2 linked regions of the Pelodiscus sinensis genome follow. Each later gene encodes a partner of the first gene's protein in a complex. Links are inferred from orthologs where the notes say so. Each region holds a gene or a part of one and is shown in the gene's direction. Other genes may lie near its edges.

Region 1 (3,744 bases):
GTTCGAATTAAGGGGCTACACACCCTTTTATTCGAACTAGTAAGTTCGAACTAGGCTTAGTCCTCGTAAAATGAGGTTTATCTAGTTCAAACTAAGCGCTCCGCTAGTTTGAATTAAGTTCGAACTAGCGGAGCGCTAGTGTAGCGCCTATCAAAGTTAATTCGAACTAACGTCCGTTAGTTCGAATTAACTTTGTAGTGTAGACATACCCCAAGAGTAGGTGCACACACAGCCCCAGAAAACACATGTGTGCTCAGGCTCACCTGCACAAGCAAAACAAATATATTGATCTGGAAATATACATACACTTTCCCTAAACACAAATGCTTGTGCAAACACAAGCGTGCCCACAGTCACTCTTGCCTGCATGTGCCCATGCCTGCATAATCTTTCATTTGGGATGTGAAAGGTTAACTGGTAGGGGCTGGAGCAGCTCCTTGCCTGCTGTGGGCAGGGTCTGCTCTGGTCATCCATAGCAGCCCTGTCCACAGTAGGCCGGAGCATCCCACAGGCGGGGGCTGCTCTCGTGTCCAGAGCAGCCTCTCTCCATAGGGAGTCTGGGTGCCCTACAGGCAGGGACCCCCTCTCCCGTGTCCCCTTTAACCAGTTAACCAATGAAATGGGATTTTATATCTGTATCTTGCATGTGCACACAGACACGCCGGCATACACAAAACACAAAATGCAGGCATGCATGCACACATGCAGTCTTGCATGAACATGTGCTCAATCGTGAACTCATGAAACTGCATGGACACCACTGTACACATACTCTGGTTGACTTTCCCTTGCCACCTCCACATCCCCCAGCTAATCTCTGCACCAGGATGATGTGGATGGTGAAAACACCATGCCCTAGTGCAAACAGGGACTGAAGGGGTGGACCTCTGCACTAGTGCAAGACGTATAGCCTGTCTAGTTGAGTGTATGTGTGGGAGGCTGTGGAGCCCTTGTGCACAGCTGGGATTGGGGCCGGGGGAAGAGGAGGGTTTATGTGTCTGGCTGACCATGCCAGGTCCACTTAGGCCCAGATGTGTGGGGAGCCTTGGGCTATACAGATAGGAGATGGATCAGGCTGGCCAGATGTATGTGGGAGGGGTATTCAGATGTCTGGTGGGGCTGGGTGCAGCAGAGGCTTCCTTCCCTGTTTCATCCACATGTTTGTGAGACCTGCAGCCATTGGGGAAGGCTGTCCGAGTTCCATGTCCAGATATGCTTGTCTCAGGACACCATCCAGATATGTCGGGGGTCCCTGGGACCAGCTGAGGCCAGCTCTCCAGATGCATTCTCCTTCTGGGAGGCCATACAGATACCCTCCTTCTGGGAGGCCACACATAGGCTTTGTCCTCCCACCTCCAGCACCCGGCTCCTCATCTCCTCTCCCTTCTCTTTTCTGCAGGTGACTCAGCACCGCCATGGACATTGGCGGCTTGGAGACGGTGGTGGCCAACTCAGCCTATGTGTCAGCCCGGGGCAGCGTGGATGCCAGTGCGGCCTCCACTTTGCGGGACAAGAAGATGCGGGCAAAACTGAAGCTGCCCCACATCACGCAGTGTGAACACCTGAAGGACCAGATGGACCTGAACTTCCAGAGCATCTGCCTCCGGCAGCCCATTGGCAAGCGGCTCTTCCAACAGTTCCTGGAGGACCAGGAGGCATTCAAGGCGGCTGGCGGACTCTGGAAGAGCATGGAGGAGTATGCAGCGTCCGAGGAGAATGAGAGGACCCAGAAGGCCCAGAAGACTGTCAACCAATTCTTTGACTCAGCCTCCAAGACCTTCTGCTCCTTCCTGGAGGAGAAAGTCGTCATGAGGGTCAAGGAAGATGCCAAGCATGGGCGAGCAGACCTCTTCAAAGAGACAGAACAGCACCTGTTGAAGCACCTGGAGGACCAGGCCTTGGCCAAGTACAAGGACAGCTTGTTCTTTGCCCGCTTCCTGCAGTTCAAGTGGCTGGAGGGGCAGAGTGTGACGGAGGAGTGGTTCCTGGATTTCCGGGTGCTGGGCAAAGGGGGCTTTGGTGAGGTCTGCGCCTGCCAGATGAGGGCCACCGGCAAGATGTACGCCAACAAGAAACTCAACAAGAAGCGGCTCAAAAAACGCAATGGATATGAGGCAAGAGCTTGGGGGGGGGCAGGCCCCAAGGCTAGGAGCCAGGACATCTGGGTTCCATCCCCAGCTCTGGAAGAGGAGTGGGGGGCTGATGGATTAGTTCAGGGGAGGGTTAGGGAACCAAGACTCCTGGGTTCTCCCAGCTCTGGGAGGGGAGCTGGCTCTTCTAAGTGCATGGCCTTGGGTCCAGTTGGCTGGGGCAGAGCCGTGTGGGCTGCTGTGTACAGGATCCTGGGTGCCAGGGTGTCCTAGGTGGCGTGGGGCACAGGTGTGGCCTCGAGGGCTCTCTGATGTGCCTGCAGCTGGGTCGCTCCATGGGCTAGGGGTTAGTCTGGAGGGACACAGCCCCTCTCCCCTCCACAGAGATGTGGGGCTATGGTGACCCGCCTTGTTTCATTACTGGGTGCTCAGGAGGCTGGTGCAGATCCCAACTTCCTTTGCATTGCTCCCCACTTCTATGGAGAAGGGACAGCGGGGCACATGGATGGGGGGACTGAGGAGGGATGGAGGGTTTGGTATAAAGATTTTTACTGCCTTCTGATTGGTTAGTGCAAACATCTCCCACAGTTTGATTGGCTATTGAGGAGCCATCCCTGGGTCTCCTCATTGGTGCTGGGGCCCAACTCAGCTGGGAGAGACAGGAGCCAGTCTTGGGACAAGGGAGCTAGATTGAGAGCCTGGTCTTTTGGGTTCTCTCCCTGTCTCTGGGAGGAAATGAGGGTTAGAGCTTAGCACAGGGGGACTGGGAGCTGGGACTGTCTCTTGCGGTGTTTTCACACCATGGCATTGGCGTGTCTGCTGCTTTCACAACCCAACACTTTCAGTGGTTTGATATTTGCTAAAGGCAGTATCTGCTAATTGTGCCATGTGGCCCTGCCCAGAGAGAAGGAGCCTGATTTCCTGGAGCAAGGAAGTGGGGTAGACAGTGTCCTGCAGAGGTGTGTGTGTGTAATTTAGGGGTTTCCCAACTACATATATTACCTGGATGTTTCTGTAGTCATCTGGGAGAAGTGTGGGACGTCATCGGTAGGTTTCAGAATTAACATAATCAATTGCAATGCATGAGGCAACTGCCTTCTCTAACTGCGAGGGTCTCAGGCAGCTGAAGCTAACCCCAAACAGCCGAGGTCCCCAAACAGCTAACCCCAAACAGCCAAGTCTGAGGCGGGGATCATAGGATTCCGTCTGTAATTCTCCATAACAGTGACATCAGAATTGTTCTGTTACCAATGAGGAAGGAACGACCGGAAGCCATCTGGGGGGCAGTAGGTGGGGAGCAGTTCAGACACAGCTTTACTTTGAGATTTAGGGTTCAGCTTGAAAAGGCAGGGGCAGGGGATACCAGCCTGAGCCCTGCCATTGGAGTTTGGGGTGCAGGGCTGAGGTGAGGTATGTGGGAGGTTTGGGGGTTCGGTCTGAGTTTGAGAGGGAAGACTGAGGGGCTGAGCTGAGTTTGGAAATAGCCATTCGAGGGGGGTGGCTGTAAGATGCAGGGCAAGGTTGAGGGGTTCAGACTGTGTGAGTGTGTGCATGCGAATGATTGCTTGTGCGTGGGGGGGGGTGAGAAAGAGAGAGCTCCCCACTTAGCAAAGCCCACCATGGCCTAACACACACATCCCTACACCAAAGCCAC
Region 2 (3,744 bases), on another chromosome or scaffold:
ATAGATAGATAAAGGGGATGGGTGGGAGTAGATAGATAGAGGGGGTGGCTGAGATAGATGGATAAGGCAGATAGATCGTTCATGGGGGAATGGGGTGGCTGGGGGTAGGTGGCTGAGTGGATAGAGGGGTTTGTGGGGAATGGAGGATTGAGGAGTTTGGGGGGGATGGAGGAGTTCATGGGGGATGTGGGATAGAGGGGTTTGCGAGGGACGGGGGATAGAGGGTTCTGTGGGGGGGTTATGGGGGATGGAGGGGTTCATGGGGGATGGGGGATAGAGGGGTTCATGAGAGATGGGGGATGGAGGCTTTAGGGGGATGGAGGATAGAAGGGTTTGTGGGGGAACGGGGGAAATAGAGGGGATTGCGAGGGATGGGGGATGGAGGGGTTCGTGGGGGACGGGGGATAGAGGGTTCTGCGGGGGGGGGTTAAGGGGATGGAGAGGTTCATGGGGGATGGGGGATAGAGGGGTTTGCGAGGGATGGGGGATAGAGGGTTCTGCGGGGGGGGTTATGGGGATGGAGAGGTTCATGGGGGATGGGGGATAGAGGGGTTTCCAGGGGAAGAGTTTTGCGGGGTGGGGGGGTTCATGGGGGATAGAGGGGTTTGTGAGAGACGGGGGATGGCGGGTTTGGGGGAATGGGGAATAGAAGGGTATGTGGGGGGATGGGGGAATAGAGGGGTTCATGTGGGATGTGGGATAGAAGGGTCTGCAGGAGGGGTTATGGGGGATGGGGATAGAGGGATTTGCGGGGGGTGGAGGGGTTCATGGGGGATGGGGGATGGAGGGTTCTGTAGGGGGGTTATGGGGGATGGAGAGGTTCATGGGGGATGGGGGATAGAGGGGTTCATGAGAGACAGGGGATGGAGGATTCAGGGGGATGGGGTATAGAAGGGTTTGTGGGGGAATGGGGGATGGGCGATAGAGGGGTTCATGGGGGATGTGGGATAGAAGGGTCTGCAGGGGGGGTTATGGGGGATGGGGATAGAGGGATTTGCGGGGGGTGGAGGGGTTCATGGGGGACGGGGATGGAGGGTTCTGTAAGGGGGTTATGGGGGATGGAGAGGTTCATGGGGGATGGGGGATAGAGGGGTTCATGAGAGACAGGGGATGGAGGATTCAGGGGGATGGGGTATAGAAGGGTTTGTGGGGGAATGGGGGATGGGCGATAGAGGGGTTCATGGGGGATGGAGGGTTTGGGGGGATGGGGATGGAGGGGTTCATCAGGGACAGGGGATAGAGGGGTTTGCGGGGGATGGGGATTCGGGGGGATGGGGTAGCTAGTCTGGAGGAGGCCGGGGGGGCAGGCAGCTGCGGGAGGCGGCAGAAGGCGGGGCGGCGGGCGCCCAAGGGCAGCGGCCGACAATACTCCAAGTGGCTCAGGGCTGCCAATCTCCCGTTAATAGCGCTAAGGAGCTTGTGACCAACGTCACGGAGCCAGCCCCGCGGGAGGGGCGGGGGGGGCCTGGCGGAGACCCCCCCCTTCCCAGGGAGTCTATATGAGCCGGCAGCACCAGGGCCTGGGAGATGCCAGTGGGAGCCGAGGAGCCCACCTGCTAGAGCCAGGCTGGGAGCGGAGGGGCGGGGGTGCTAGGCCGGGGATCGGGGCGCGGGTGCTGGGACGCGGGGGCTAGGCCGGGCTCGGGGCGCAGCATCGGGGCGCCATGGGGAACAGTAAGAGCGGGGCCCTGTCCAAGGAGATCCTGGAGGACCTGAAGCTGAACACCAAGTACACGGAGGACGAGCTGTGCAAGTGGTACGAGAGCTTCCAGAAGCAGTGCCCGGACGGGCGCATCAGCCAGGCCGAGTTCGAGAAGATCTACGCCAACTTCTTCCCCAACTCCGACCCCAAGGGCTACGCCCGCCACGTCTTCCGCAGCTTCGACACCAACAACGACGGGACGCTGGACTTCCGGGAGTACATCATCGCCCTGCACCTCACCTCCTCCGGCAAGACTGACCTCAAGCTGGAGTGGGCCTTCTCCCTCTTCGACGTGGACCGCAACGGCGAGATCAGCAAGAGCGAGGTGCTGGAGATCATCTCGGTGAGTGCGGAGCAAGGGGAGGGGCTGCGAGCTTCCTCACAACAGTGCCCTGAGGGGGTGCTGTGAGCTTCCCCACAGTAGTGCCCTGAGGGGGTGCCGCGAGCTTCCCTACAGCAGTGCCCTGAGGGGGTGCTGCGAGCTTCCCCACAGTAGTGCCCTGAGGGGGTGCTGTGAGCTTCCCCACAGTAGTGCCCTGAGGGGGTGCTGCGAGTTTCCCTATAGCAGTGCCCTGAGGGGGTGCTGCGAGCTTCCCTACAGCAGTGCCCTGAGGGGGTGCTGTGAGCTTCCCCACAGTAGTGCCCTGAGGGGGTGCTGCAAGCTTTCCCACAGCAGTGCCCTGAGGGGGTGCTGTGAACTTCCCTACAGCAGTGCACTGAGGAGGTGCTGCGAGCTTCCCTACAGCAGTGCCCTGAGGGGGTGCTGTGAGCTTCCCTACAGCAGTGTCTTGAGGGGCTGCTGCGAGCTTCCCCACAGTAGTGCCCTGAGGGAGGGGTGAACTTCCCCACAACAGTGCCCTGAGGGAGGGGTGAACTTCCCCACAGCAGTGCCATGAGGGAGGGGTGAACTTCCCCACAGCAGTGCCGGGAGCAGGGGAGGGAGCAAACAATGTGAACTCTCCTATAGCAATGTCTTGTAGGGATTTCAGCCCAGAAAGGAGGGGGAAGAAGGCATGCTGCGAGCTTCCTTCCTAGCAGTGCCCTGAGGAGCCTTGCTGTGGTGCCCTAAGGGGATGCTTGGCCATTCCCACCCCACAGTGAACGGAGCCAGGGGACTCCCCCCACACCCCCCGGGCTCCTGGCTGGTGCCCACGGAGCCAGAAAGTCTCTCCCTAGCCCAAACTGTGGTTCCTGCTTGTTCTGCCGACTGGGGGACCGGCCCAGCCCCGTCCTCTGGGCACCAACCCTCAGCCAGCGTCACAGCCTGTTCCCGCTCATGCCAAGCACGCCGATCCTGCCTGGGCTCCCCCGCCCGTGGACAGAGGCCAGGCCGATGCAGCATCACAGCGAGCCCATCTACCCCGGCATCCCGCCTGCTCCCTGCCGCGCAGGCCTGTGACCGGCCAGCTCGAGCGGGTGGAGTGGGCAGAGAGGGGCGTGGAGGCGGCCTGATCCCTAGGGCAGGTGGCAGGATTGTACCCGGCAGCATGACAGTGGATTAGCCCCGATCAAGGCTTGCGTTGGTCGCAAATACATCCCTGATGGGATTGCAGCCTCTCCCCCTCCCCTGGGCGCCAAATCCTGTTATGCTAATTTATCCGGGCTGAGCCTCTTGGCTGCCAGCCCCCCCCTCGTTAATTTTATCAGTATGGCCTCACCCGGCCCCACAGAGCCGCTCCTGCAGGTCAGGCAGGGTATCTGGGGCGCTGCCCCACACCGCGGCAGAAAATAACGAGCCTTAAGCTGGATTTGCCATGGCCAAAAGGAGGAGGAAGGCTGGGGGGGGGAGGAGGAGGAAGGCTTGGGGGGGAGGGAGCAGTGATCACGATAAAAGGTGAGAGAGATCACGATAAAAACCACGTGGAAATTCGTAGAAGGGGCTAAAAATGCCACGGCGCTCACAGCCGGTCACTAGACCCAACTCCCCTCCCACAGTGGCATCTCCCTCGCTCTCTAACCACCAGGCCCTCCCACCCCCAAACGGCTAATAGAGCCTGTATTGCAATCTATGGCTTGCCTGCCCCCTGGTGGCGAAAACCTCC

The links. The genes of interacting proteins can lie anywhere in the genome.
Region 2: the proteins of GRK1 (region 1) and RCVRN are in contact, whole or in part, in an NMR structure (PDB 2I94), measured with the Bos taurus proteins. The link is inferred for Pelodiscus sinensis from reciprocal best matches to the Homo sapiens genes GRK1 and RCVRN. Residues at the interface, in NP_776598.1 of Bos taurus: Phe3, Gly4, Leu6, Glu7, Val9, Val10, Ala11, Asn12, Ser13, Ala14, Phe15, Ile16; in NP_776590.1 of Bos taurus: Lys22, Trp31, Ser34, Phe35, Glu38, Cys39, Phe49, Ile52, Tyr53, Lys55, Phe56, Phe57, Tyr86, Leu90, Thr93, Ser94, Phe188, Glu189.

The regions. Positions count from the first base shown.
Region 1 is NC_134734.1:9,963,377-9,967,120, forward strand, and holds the start of GRK1 (rhodopsin kinase GRK1), read left to right. Parts: upstream 1-1,205; 5' UTR 1,206-1,415; coding exon 1,416-2,114; intron 2,115-3,744. UniProt on the Homo sapiens protein: Retina-specific kinase involved in the signal turnoff via phosphorylation of rhodopsin (RHO), the G protein- coupled receptor that initiates the phototransduction cascade.
Region 2 is NW_027465849.1:3,549,666-3,553,409, forward strand, and holds the start of RCVRN (recoverin), read left to right. Parts: upstream 1-1,380; 5' UTR 1,381-1,664; coding exon 1,665-2,045; intron 2,046-3,744. UniProt on the Homo sapiens protein: Acts as a calcium sensor and regulates phototransduction of cone and rod photoreceptor cells. Modulates light sensitivity of cone photoreceptor in dark and dim conditions.